Sus scrofa: one gene and its partners. The protein of the gene in region 3 purifies or fractionates together with the protein of the main gene of each other region. This does not show direct contact. Links are inferred from orthologs where the notes say so. Each region holds a gene or a part of one and is shown on either strand. Other genes may lie near its edges.

Region 1 (3,646 bases), on a different chromosome or scaffold from region 3:
TTCCTCCCCCACTAAATGTACTCTCCTTCAGGGAGGAAAATGCTTCTAACAATAAACCTCACATAAAAAGATCTGTCATCTAAGTTGTGAGCTACTAGGATAATAAATCTCAATACTTGCAATATTTTACAATGTGTGGGCTGAAATTCACTTTGCTCAGCAAATCTTTTTTCATGAAAAGTGTCATCATGTTAATCTAAATTAAATTCCCTGGGCAGATTTTAAAATATATGAGAACACAAACTTTTCATAACTCACAAAATTCTTCAGAAACATGAGCATTTACTCTAGTAAAAATATCTTAAGCCTTGGATTCCCTCAGAACCTCTCTAGCATGTATTTGAAAATAATAAAGTTGAATTTTTTTTTTTTTTTTTGTCTTTTTAGGGCTGTACCCGCGCCATATGGAGGTTCCCAGGCCAGGGGTCTAATCGGAGCTGTAGCCGTCAGCCTATGCCACAGCCACAGCAATGCCAGATCTGAGCCGCGTCTGCAAGCTACACCACAGCTCACGGCAACGCCAGATCCTTAACCCACTGAGCGAGGCCAGGGTTTGAACCCTCAACCTCATGGTTCCTAGTCGGATTCATTTCCACTGTGCCACGATGGGAACTCCAGAAAATAATAAAGTTAAATTTATTTTGAAACTAATTTCCAATCAAAGGAACTCTCATTGTGCTGTGAGCTCCGTTGTGTTTTATCTAGAACATTCCCAAAGTGAATGAAATAGGGTCATCTGCATTCGTGAGCATGGTCCCTGAACAAAATTCCTGTGTGTTGGCTCCACCCTGACAGTCAGCCTAGCCCTTGGCCTGCTCAGAGCGTTTGACTCGAGAGTCAGGCCTGCTCTAGTTTGGCCCAAGCATCTTAGACTCCATCCTGGGTCTGCAGTGGGAACAATGGGATGCTATCAATTGTGATTTAGAAAAGGGTAGAGAGCTTCAAAGCATAAACGACCATGGGACATTTTGGCCCCTGGTGTCTGTGCCACTGCTGTTTACTCTTCAGGGTTTCTCTCCTTTCCCAGGCTTGGGCTAGAGGTAACGCGATCAAATGATTAACTGCAGGAATCAGCTTTGAAGCTGGTTTCTGGCCTATGTCAAGAGTTGTATCACTGGGTCATAGAGAATCATCGAATCTTAGACCTTCAAAGGACGTTTGAGATCAAGTATTTCAAAAGTAGAGTAAGTTGGAATTGAATTTGTATTTAGAAAATAATTGTCTCATGGAACAAGTGTTACAGAACAAGTAGGTTTGTTTTTGGTTTTTTTTTTTTTGCCTCTAAAACAAGTTATTAATCTAAAGTAGACCAACCAGTCCTAGAAAAGAAGCATTTTAGGAATTTGTTACATTTGAATCAAAGCCATTATATTAGAGAAGTGGGAATAAAGAATTTTCCTATGAAAGATAAATTATTATATTGCTTGTTGACTGTTCTGTTGTCATACAAGCCACCCATGTTTCTACCTGAGTCAAAGGCCTAAATGGAAAGGAATGAATATCCTTAACATTAAAGGTAGTTTGAAAGTTTCAGAGAGTGGTTTATGCCACAAGAAAAGGGCATAATATGTGTCTTTCCTATTTGGTCTTAACGTAAAAGCCCCTCATGTAATACGAAACCAGCCTGGGAATGAGCCGAGTGGGTGTGAGTGGAGTGGGAAGTAGGCCCTGAGAAACTGACTTCTTTGCTTAACGTCTCAAGAGTTGATGGGTGAGTTACAGCAGACTCTTGACTCCTTCACATTTTACATGTATTACCCCACTGAGTGATCACAGTGTGTTAGTTATTGATGATGTTGCCTTTGGGTTTTCTGTTTTTATTCAAACATATTTGTGAATGAAATTAAAAAAAAAAAAAGCTTCTGTATTCAGTTAACCCTTGAATATCACTGGGGATATAGCCATTTGGTTTTTTTCTTTCCTTTTTTTTTTTGGCGGGGGGTGCTGCCTTGCAGCATATGGCATTCCTAGGCCAGGGATCAGATCTGAGCCAAAGTTATGACCTATGCCACAGCTGTGGCAATGCCAGATCTTTAACCCACTGTGCTGGGCCAGGGATCAATCCAGCATCTTGGTGCTGCAGCGATGCTGCTGACCTCGTTGTGCCACAGCAGGAACTCCATTGTTCAGGTGTTTTTCAACCAAAGCATCTGAGTCCAAGATGCCATTATAAATGTTTAATACGGAGTTCCCGTCGTGGCGCAGTGGTTAACGAATCCGACTAGGAACCATGAGGTTGCGGGTTCGGTCCCTGCCCTTGCTCAGTGGGTTAACGATCCGGCGTTGCTGTGAGCTGTGGTGTAGGTTGCAGACGCGGCTCGGATCCTGCGTTGCTGTGGCTCTGGCATAGGCCGGTGGCTACAGCTCCGATTCAACCCCTAGCCTGGGAACCTCCATATGCCGCGGGAGCGGCCCAAGAAATAGCAACAACAACAAAAGACAAAAAAAAAAAAAAAAAAAATGTTTAATACATGATACTACCTGTTGCATCATCTAGCATTTCTTTTCTTTATTTTTACAGCTGCACCTGAGGCATATGGATGTTCCCAGGCTAGAAGTCAAATCGGACCCACAGCTGCAGGCCTGTGCCTCAGCTTGTGGCAATGCTGCATCTTTAACCCCCTGAGCGAGGCCAGGGATCAAACCCACATCCTCACGTGTCAGATTCCTAACCTGCTATGTTAGATTCCTAACCCGCTGAGCCGCATCAGGAACTCCCCATAATCTAGTATTTCTTGTTTTTGAGTTATAGTGGAGGAAACCTCTGTGCTATAGTAGATTTAAGTTAAACCTGTGTTTCCACTTTCTTGTCCTCTAAACTATCTTGATTGATAGTTATCAGTAATTATAAATTTAAACTTAAAACAGAAAAAGATATGATTGCTCCTAAATTTCCAGTCTAGGTGGACTAAGCTTTGACAGGACATTCCACGCACATCTCTAGATAAAATTAGGCAGGAGAAATAGTCACTCACCGCCTCCCTGAATTAGCCAGCCCCGAGGAGCTGCTCTGTTGACTGTCCCATCTCCTCTCTCTTAGTCCACCTGGAAGGCCGCTGTGGTGGAAGGGTGTTTGATTGCAGAGACGTGGGGTTCATCGTTGGAGAAGGAGAAGACCATGACATTCCAATTGGAATTGATAAAGCCCTGGAGAAGATGCAGCGTGAGGAACAGTGTATTTTATACCTTGGACCACGGTAAGCAGCATACCGTTTCCGTGTGTGGTGAAGTCATCCGAAGAACTGGGATACACTTGCTTTCTCAGTTGGCATTCTGCTGTTTTCAGCGAAGTTAATGCCAGCAGTGGAAATAATTAATTAAATCAGGCTACAGTTAGTCATGGAGTGAATTAATGGACCTGATAATATTGCAGACGTTTGTAAGCCCGTTCACTTGATTGATGTGTTCATGACAGGACTGACAGGTTGTGCTTTTGTTTTGCTGGTCATAGCGCCAGGACAGGATGCTATTGGCCCTTCTCGTGTGACTCCCTTGCCCCTCTCCCCTTTTCCCTAAGTTAGGCAGGAGGCAGTGAAACGTGGGGGCTGCAAGCAGAGGACGCATTTGGATGATTTATTGCCAGTTGAATCTGTGCCACCTGTTCTTATACAGAGTCCCTGAAAAAAGAGTGTTCTTCCTGGATCTA
Region 2 (3,646 bases), on a different chromosome or scaffold from region 3:
GTTAACAACCCATGAGCTTCGTGTTGAAACTTACGCTCATAAATGGGCCTCCTTCTGTAGAGTAACTCTCAGTTCTCTCTTTATCATCCTACATGTGCATACAGGCTCAGGAGGGCTGGAAAATTCATCTCTTCTGTCGGCATCTTCTCATTTACCAATCAAGTAATTCTTTGGTGCCATTGAAATGCTGGAGTCATGTTTTGTTTTTCATGAATGTCTCATTTTTGGTGCCAAGCTGACCCTTTTGGTGTGTGCCAGGCTCTAGAGTATGTGCCTGAGGTTCCCTAGGTTATATTAGAAGATTCCAGTTTCTATTCCCTAGTGTGTATTAAAGGGCACGAGTCTGTAATGAATGGGCTGGAACACAGCCTCATGCTGCGCTCTTACTGTTTGATAGACTATTGGTTTTGATTGCATTTTCCAGCTAAATTTGTCACATAAGATTCTTCCTCGCTCTTTGCTCCTGCTGGCTCTTATAAACACAGAGTCCAGCGTATATTTAGTATCTTGATGAATTCAGACCCTGTGACTACCGTCTGTCTGTCGGTGCTATTTCGGGGGACAACAGGTGGGTGCCCATTGGGAAGAAGGCCTGCGTGTGGCTGGTGGGGAAGGGCCATCCGTATATGGCCTGTGCTCACACTGCCTGGTGGTTCCTTCTGCGCCCACGGAGGGCACGGTCGGGATGAGGTCTGTGATCTTGTGCTTCCAAGGCCGCCTGAGTGTTGGAGCTACATCTGTCACTATTTATTTTGCAAAAGTCAGCAACTTGTTTAGTTGTGGTGTAATATATGTAAGAAAATGCCCTGGAAACAGAGCACCTTAAACACACAGGATTTTGTTTTCTTCTCCCCTGATTCCACAACCTGGTTCTTTAGTGACTGGCTGAGTCCGTAGTCGGTGCCTGTGTAGGGTTGGGGGAAGTGGTGCTTTGATAGTTTGATTAGGGCATCGTACCCAAAACCCACAGAGGCATTCTCTTTAAATTCGGAGAAGGCAAACATGCCCTTGCTCATCACCATCGTTTGGGCTTTTTTTCTTTTTCTTTTTTGGCCGCCCCAGGGCATGTGGATTCCCAGGCCAGGGATCAGATCCGAGCTGCAGCTGCAACCAATGCCACAGCTCAGCAACACTGGATCCTTAACCCACCGTGCTGGCCATTGTTTGATATTATATAGGAGGGCTTTGGTCAGTACTATGAGAAAGAAAAATAGGAGCTAAGAGGATTAAAAAGGCACAGATAAGGATTATCGTTTTTGCAGATGATATATATGATCATCCATCTAGAAGAACCAATGGAATCAAAAATCAAACCATTAAGTGAATAAGTGTTAAGGTGGCAGCTACAACATGAACTACAAAAACAGCATTTTTTTTTCCAACCAGCAATAGCCAACTAGAAAATGCAGTATATAGAAATGTATTATTCCCAATACCAACACTATCCAAAGTATCAAAACACTTAAAAGAGTCTGTACAACTACCATCAGTACTTCAGGGAGTTCCCGTTGTGGCTCAGGGGAAACAAATCCAACTAGGATCCTTGAGGTTTGATCCCTGGCCTTACTCAGTGGGTTAAGGATCCAGCATTGCTGTGCTTTGTGGTGTAAGTCGAAGATGCGGCTCAGATCTGGCGTGGCTGTGGCCGTGGTGTAGGCCTGCAGCTGCAGCTCCTATCTGACCCCTAGCCTGGGAACCTCCATGTGCCTCGGGTGCGGCCCTAAAAAGAAAAAGCAAAGGGTGTTGGTATAACAACAGGCACAGTGCCGAAAGATGGAATAGAGACTTCAGAGGCAGACAATCTACAAATCATTGAGGGAAAGATGGATTTGGGGATGGATAACGTTGGAGAAAATGGTTCACTATATGGAGAAAAAGAAACACATCTCCCCTAGCCACACACACAAGGTGGATTCTAGGTGGATTAGGACATAAGCATGGAAAGGTGAAGTCAGACGTTAGTAGACGGGGGTGCAGGAAAGCGTCTCAGGACCTGGGGAGGGGAGGGCCCTGCAGCAAAACTTCCCGATATGAGCCGTGAGGTAAAACCAAACCAAGCAGAGATGGACCTGACCCCTTCAGAACAAGGCCTTCTGCTCCATGAAGGACGCCCAGACACACTTCACAGGGGACAGGATGGGAGAAGGTGGTTGCAGGGCCTGTCACCAACAGGGCATTAACGCCTTGAGTGTGCACATGGCAGGGGGACAGTAACCCCAGTGTGCAAAAAGAAAAAGCAAGATAGGCAAAGGCTGCGAACAGCCTCACAAGGATACGGAGAGATGTCCAAAGTGATGAGTAATGAAAGAAGGGCAGATTAAGTACTGACGCAGCACCTACTACACTGACAGCAGAAGGTTAGAAAGTTGGGAAATGCTGAGCTTTGATAGGGCTGTGGGGACCCAGGGGCTTTCTGGAGAACAATCCAGAATGGAGCTGCATGAAGGGTCCGCACACCCTGCGAGGAAGCCGCCCTGCCCTGGGATGGTGCCTGTTATCAGGGCCCCGAGAGGACAGGTTGTCATTGACCTGTTACTGGAGGTGACGAAAAACTGGCGCCGAGGTACATCTCTACTGGGTCGGGGAGGTCAGGTCAGGTGGGGACACAAGGTGGCATTTTATGCGAGACCTAGGAGCTCCTGATTACACGTACTCGGAGGAACCTGGTGCTTCGTCATAAAATACACTGCGTGAGGGCAGAAACAGTGAGATATAAATAAGTTGAAAATAGGCGAGCACACAAGTATTCCGTTTTTTTGTAGAGCAAATACAAATAAATAAACGCTAAACAGAACTATTGCCCAGTGAGTGGGGAGGAAAATGGGAGCAGCAGGGCAAGTGGATTAAAAAGAAAACTTAAAAGCACAGAAAACAAGGAATACGGCATTTTTGGTTAACCATCTTTAACCGTGAGTTGGACTGAGGGATGGGGAGATGAGGCAGCCGTTCTGCTGTCTGGGTTATAACATCTGGCCCCCCTTGGTCCCCAGGGTGGAAGCTCTGCGAGAAGCGGCCACTGCCGTGGAGCAGGAGAAGGAGGTGCTGCTGGAGATGATCCACAGCATCCAGAACAGCCAGGACATGCGGCAGATCAGCGAAGGTGCGCTGCGGGGGGCGGGGGGGTGGGGGGGTCCTGGGGGTGGGTGGGGGAAGGGGGGCATCAGCAGAGCCACTCCTCCAGCCCGAGAGCTGCTCCAGGTCCATGCTTCCAAGAAGGGCCAGAGCTGTGCGGGATGTGAAAAGCAGTAGCGTCAGAGGGTGAGAGGTTGGGTGGAGGTGTCACTTAAAGGGGAGAAAGGCAGAGAAAGTGGATTATGGACCCAGTGACACCCGTTTCCAGAGGAAGAGCTTACTGCCCAAGAAGAGATGGGCTTGCTGGGAGGTGATTCTCTGCACACCCAGTGGTCCTCCCAGCCTGGCTCCCCGGGCTAATAGTTGCGTTGCTGGTGTCGTTCAGTGAGCGTCTAGCCCAGACCCAGACTGCTACGCAGCCTCAGCAGGGTCAAGATGTCAAGATCTAGTCTCTCTCCACTGTTCTGGCCAAAGGTCCTTGAATTGGGAAGGGAGTTACAGAACAGGACAGATGAGAGATGGCTGATTTTCACATAAATAGGGAAAGGTTGACCCAGCACCCCTACCGGTCCCA
Region 3 (4,398 bases):
GAAGTGTGTTGAGGCCCCCTCACCTAATGCCCTTTCTTTGATCTTTTCCCATTGCGTTGCAGAGGAATGCCGAGGCTCCTAATGGGAGAAGGTATGCACTTCAAACACAACAGGCGGTTCATACTGTTGGGGAAATCATTACAAATAAATCGCATGCCAACCCAGCAAATCCTCTCCACAAAGGTAGCGAAGAGCGGAATAGGTTTATTATCGAATAAGCATTAAATCAGACCGTGAGGGGCATCACAAGCAATTCACTAAAGAGATTTCCGAGAAAGAAATCTCCTCCTTTCATAGAGTCAGGCAGATACAACCCATGACCTACATGGTCTTAAAGATAGATGATAACTTGTCTTCAGAACTTGACAGCACCACTCGCTACACACAGTTCCTCTCAAATTCACCTGGTAATTGGGGTAGCCATCTGCCTTTAGGCAAAGGAAAAATAAAACGCATATCTCTTTGACAAGCAGGTGATGACTTGGAGCCAGCCGCCCAGGTCAAATTCCTACGCAGGTGGAGATAAGGCCCAATCGCTGTTTACCTTTGCATTTCAAAGACCTGGCTCCCAGGACCTTAAGAACAGCATTCCTGAACTGTAAAACTGGCAGAAAGCCTATTTAGCTTTTTTAAAGAGTCGCAGACCTCTCCAAGGGACAGAGAAAAATTTTACGAGTTTTCTAAAGAAAATAAGAAAAAGGAGGATGGCGAGTCTCTTTCACTTGTGACACCAGGGAAAAGTAAACTTTAAAAAAAGACTTTGTGTTTACCGTACACACGCTTCCCTGCAGTTATGCCTCATCTCAGGTTCGCACTTCCCTCCCCTCTTCACCTGACCATCCCTGATTAGTCTTTGAAAATCCTTATCAACTCCATTCCTAAAGGAAGCCTCCCCAAACAGCAAGCAGGCCTTCACTCCTAGGGCCAGACCCCCCTGCCCTGGCCACACCAGAGACCCACTCTTATCAAAGGTTATGATTACAGTCTCCTAGAACCGGAAAACGCTGCAGAGATTTTTTTTTCTGATTCCAACCCATTTCAAAGACGGTAAAACTGAGACACAGGAAAGTCCCAAATGAGTAGTTGGGCACAGGGTCACTGGAGTGAAAAAGGGCCCTTGAGGATTCCCCGTTCAGATTCGGAAACTCCTAAAGTTAGCCCCTAGTGACCCTCCCCTCCCCACAAAAATAGCTCTGCTTTATTCCATCATGGCACGATTGGGGTTAAAGCCCATGGCACGCAGGTCTCTTCCCAACTGCGCCTGCGCGAGCCCGGACGTGCGAATTTGCCCTAGACCCTGACGTTTCAGGCAGCCCCTCCTAATCCGGAACACGACCCACATTCCGCGGGTCCTGCCTTGACAGGCGTGACCCTGATCCAATAAGAATGGAGGGCCGAGTCCAGCGGAGCCAATGGCCAAAGTCCGAGGGGCGGTGGAGGCGGACTCTGTGAGGAAACAAGAAGAGAGGCCCAAGATGGAGGCGGCGGCGGCTGTAGCGGCGTGACAGGTGAGGGCGGGCCCGGCAGGGTTCGGTTTCTGGAGCGACCGCCGGGCACGAGTAAGGAGCCGGGACCGAAAGCTCAGCTCCGGGATGGCTGCGCCCGGGCCTTGGCGCCCCCTGCCCGGAACCGGAGGAGTGGTTTGACCCGGGGCGAGACCATCGTCGACAGCACGGGGAGGGGGGGTAGACTGGAATAGGGGTGCAAGGCTGCGGGGGATGGTTTCGCCCGTCGCGTGTAGCAGCGCGCCTGCGCAGAGCTGAAAGGCTCTCAGTGGGCAGGGCCAGGCCGTATATGGGGCTGGGGTTGTGGTGTGTCTTGCTTGGAGTCCTTCTTAATCTCTCTAAGGTTAGGGGAAGACTTTCTTACCAGCAATGGGGAGTGCATGAAGACGGGGCTCACTCCTCTCTTTTCTTATTCTGGATCAATGTCCGACCCACTAGGAGAATGTTTGAGGATCTCCCACCCCTTACTCCTCTTTAACCACTCCCAGCCTCCTTCCAGTAGCAGCAGTGGTATGTCTGTGAGCCCTTCCTTCGTTGTCAGGGAGAGTTTGGAGCGCCCTCCACCCCACCCCCACTTTACCCCCTTGTACCTCTCATCTCGACCAGGTCTGGTGATGCTCCATGTCCCTCCTTTCCCCCATTATCCGCTCTTCTCCCCTTTACGGTCCCTGGTGATTCCCTAACACATCTCCCTTCAGCATTGTGTCTGCGGAGCCTCTGTGAACCCCCCATCACAGTCTGCTGACTGCCATTTGCCACCTAACACAGGGTCCGTGAGTCTACCATCATTACACCCCAAGGGCTTTGGGGTGCCCCCGGCGCCCTTAAGAACATTGTTTGGTGCAATGCCCCTTTCCCCCAAACTCAGGGCACCCTGTCTGTGACTCCTCCCACCCCACAGTATCTGGTAACCCCTCCTCCATGAGAAAGCCAGGACAGCCTGTTCATGTCCATTATGTACCTGACACGCCCCAGTGCAGTGCATGCTGACTTCCCCGTTAGTCCCCAGCCCAGAGACTTCGTGTGCTCCTGTGGCCTCCAGGACAGTGTGTGCTGCCTCTCTTTATGTCCTAACCCCCACCCCACCCCGCCCTATGCAGTGAAATGGAGACCTTGGCACTTAAGGGTGAGACAAACAACAGGAGGGGCTGGGCCGAGGAAGAACTGGATCCCTTGAGCTGTGTGGGTATTAGGCTACAGGGGGAGACGTGGAGCCTGGGGACTGAATGTTTTTTTGTCCTCTGCCACTTTGCTTCCTAACAATTGTTCCCGGACCACTGCATTCCGCCTCTGTCTTCCAGGAGCCCCATGGCACCTGCCCAGCCCCACCTGAGCCCGTCTTGACAAAGTCCTAGGCTCCATGGAGCCACCACGGGGCCCCCCTGCCAACGGGGCCGAGCCGTCCCGGGCAGTGGGCACCGTCAAAGTGTACCTGCCCAACAAGCAGCGCACGGTGGTGAGTCTGACGGGAGCAAAGCTGGCCAGGGGTGGGCAGGGACCCGGTTGGACATCGTGGATCAGAAAGGTGACAGGGGCTGGGAGCACGCCTTTGCCGAGGGCTGGGGACCCCGTGGGGCACCGACTCCTCACATCTGTGCGCACACGCAGGTGACTGTCCGGGATGGCATGAGTGTCTACGACTCTCTGGACAAGGCCCTCAAGGTGCGAGGTCTCAATCAGGATTGCTGCGTGGTCTACCGGCTCATCAAGGGGTAAGCGTGGCACCCCCCCAACCCCCACTGGGGGCCCAGCTGTCCATCCCATCCCGGAGTCATCTGACTCCTCCACGCTGCTGTGGCATCGTCTCCCGTAGCCTTCTTCCCTTCATTCAGTGACTCCAACTAGCCTTTGCCTCATCCCTTCATCGGCTCGCGGGCCCATAAGGTCAGCAGCTCATTTTCTTCTTGGGACTCAAGTCATCCTCTCCTCCTGGACGCCGTCTGTTTTGTTTTTTTGTTATTTCAACAGGTTGTCCGCTCTCTCCTTCCTCCGTTTCCTCATTTTCCATCTGCGGTGTGGGCCTTGCTCGCCCTCCATTTATTCCTCTGCTTTAGGGCTCCTTAACTTTGGGTTTGTTTGTTTGTTGCTTTTTAGGGCCGCACCTGTGGCATATGGAGGTTCCCAGGCTAGAGGTCCAATCGGAGCTACAGCTGCCGGCCTACACTACAGCCACAGGAGTGCCGCATCCGAGCTGTGTCTGTCACCTACACCACTGCTCACGGCACTGCTGGATCCTTAACCCACTGCGCAAGGCCAGGGATCGAACCCGCGTCCTCGTGGATTACTCGTCGGGTTTGTTACCACTGAGCCACAACAGGAACTCTGCTTTTTAAAAAAAAAAATTAAGTAATTTATTTTTTCTTTTTTGGCTGCCCTGAGGCATATGGAGTTCCCGGGCCAGGGATCAGATCTGAGCTGCCTTTGCGACCTACGCCACAGTTGCCACAACGCCGGATCTTTAGCCCACAGTGCCGGGCCAGGGATCAAACCTGCATCCCGGTGCATCAGAGACACCACTGATCCCGTCGCACCACAGCAGGAACTCCCACTTTGCTTTGCTTTATATTTGGTATTTCAGTGCCTCACCAGCTGCTGGCTCAGCACGTCGGAGATTTAGTTGTTTCTTCACTGTCTCATTTGCTCCTCATTGTGTGGTTAAGAGAAGAGCAAGGACTCTTCCTGCTGTCCTGCCCCTCCCAATCCCTTGTGGCTTTGGACGAGTCACTTCGTCCCCCTGAGCCTATTTCCTCATGTGCAGAATGGGGGAAAGCATAGTACTGATTCCTAGAGCTGCCCTGGTGAGCATGACACATGTCACCTGTTACTCCATGGATGGTGGGCTTGGAGGGACTTTTGGGGGTTCCATTCTCCCCCATGGCCCCTGTCCACCGTC

What was found.
Region 1: the proteins of ARAF (region 3) and FKBP5 purify together in Homo sapiens (affinity purification with mass spectrometry; 4 studies listed by BioGRID and IntAct, with this or other methods). This does not show direct contact. The link is inferred for Sus scrofa from reciprocal best matches to the Homo sapiens genes ARAF and FKBP5.
Region 2: the proteins of ARAF (region 3) and BAG2 purify together in Homo sapiens (affinity purification with mass spectrometry; 3 studies listed by BioGRID and IntAct, with this or other methods). This does not show direct contact. The link is inferred for Sus scrofa from reciprocal best matches to the Homo sapiens genes ARAF and BAG2.

Annotation. Positions count from the first base shown.
Region 1 is NC_010449.5:31,462,769-31,466,414, reverse strand, and holds part of FKBP5 (FK506 binding protein 5), read left to right. Parts: intron 1-2,975; exon of another isoform or gene 2,976-3,040; coding exon 3,041-3,197; intron 3,198-3,646. UniProt on the Homo sapiens protein: Immunophilin protein with PPIase and co-chaperone activities. Component of unligated steroid receptors heterocomplexes through interaction with heat-shock protein 90 (HSP90).
Region 2 is NC_010449.5:28,670,367-28,674,012, reverse strand, and holds part of BAG2 (BAG family molecular chaperone regulator 2), read left to right. Parts: intron 1-2,990; coding exon 2,991-3,100; intron 3,101-3,646. UniProt on the Homo sapiens protein: Co-chaperone for HSP70 and HSC70 chaperone proteins. Acts as a nucleotide-exchange factor (NEF) promoting the release of ADP from the HSP70 and HSC70 proteins thereby triggering client/substrate protein release.
Region 3 is NC_010461.5:42,076,745-42,081,142, forward strand, and holds the start of ARAF (serine/threonine-protein kinase A-Raf), read left to right. Parts: upstream 1-1,457; 5' UTR 1,458-1,508; intron 1,509-1,732; exon of another isoform or gene 1,733-2,631; intron 2,632-2,806; 5' UTR 2,807-2,865; coding exon 2,866-2,961; intron 2,962-3,113; coding exon 3,114-3,217; intron 3,218-4,398. UniProt on the Homo sapiens protein: Involved in the transduction of mitogenic signals from the cell membrane to the nucleus. May also regulate the TOR signaling cascade. Phosphorylates PFKFB2.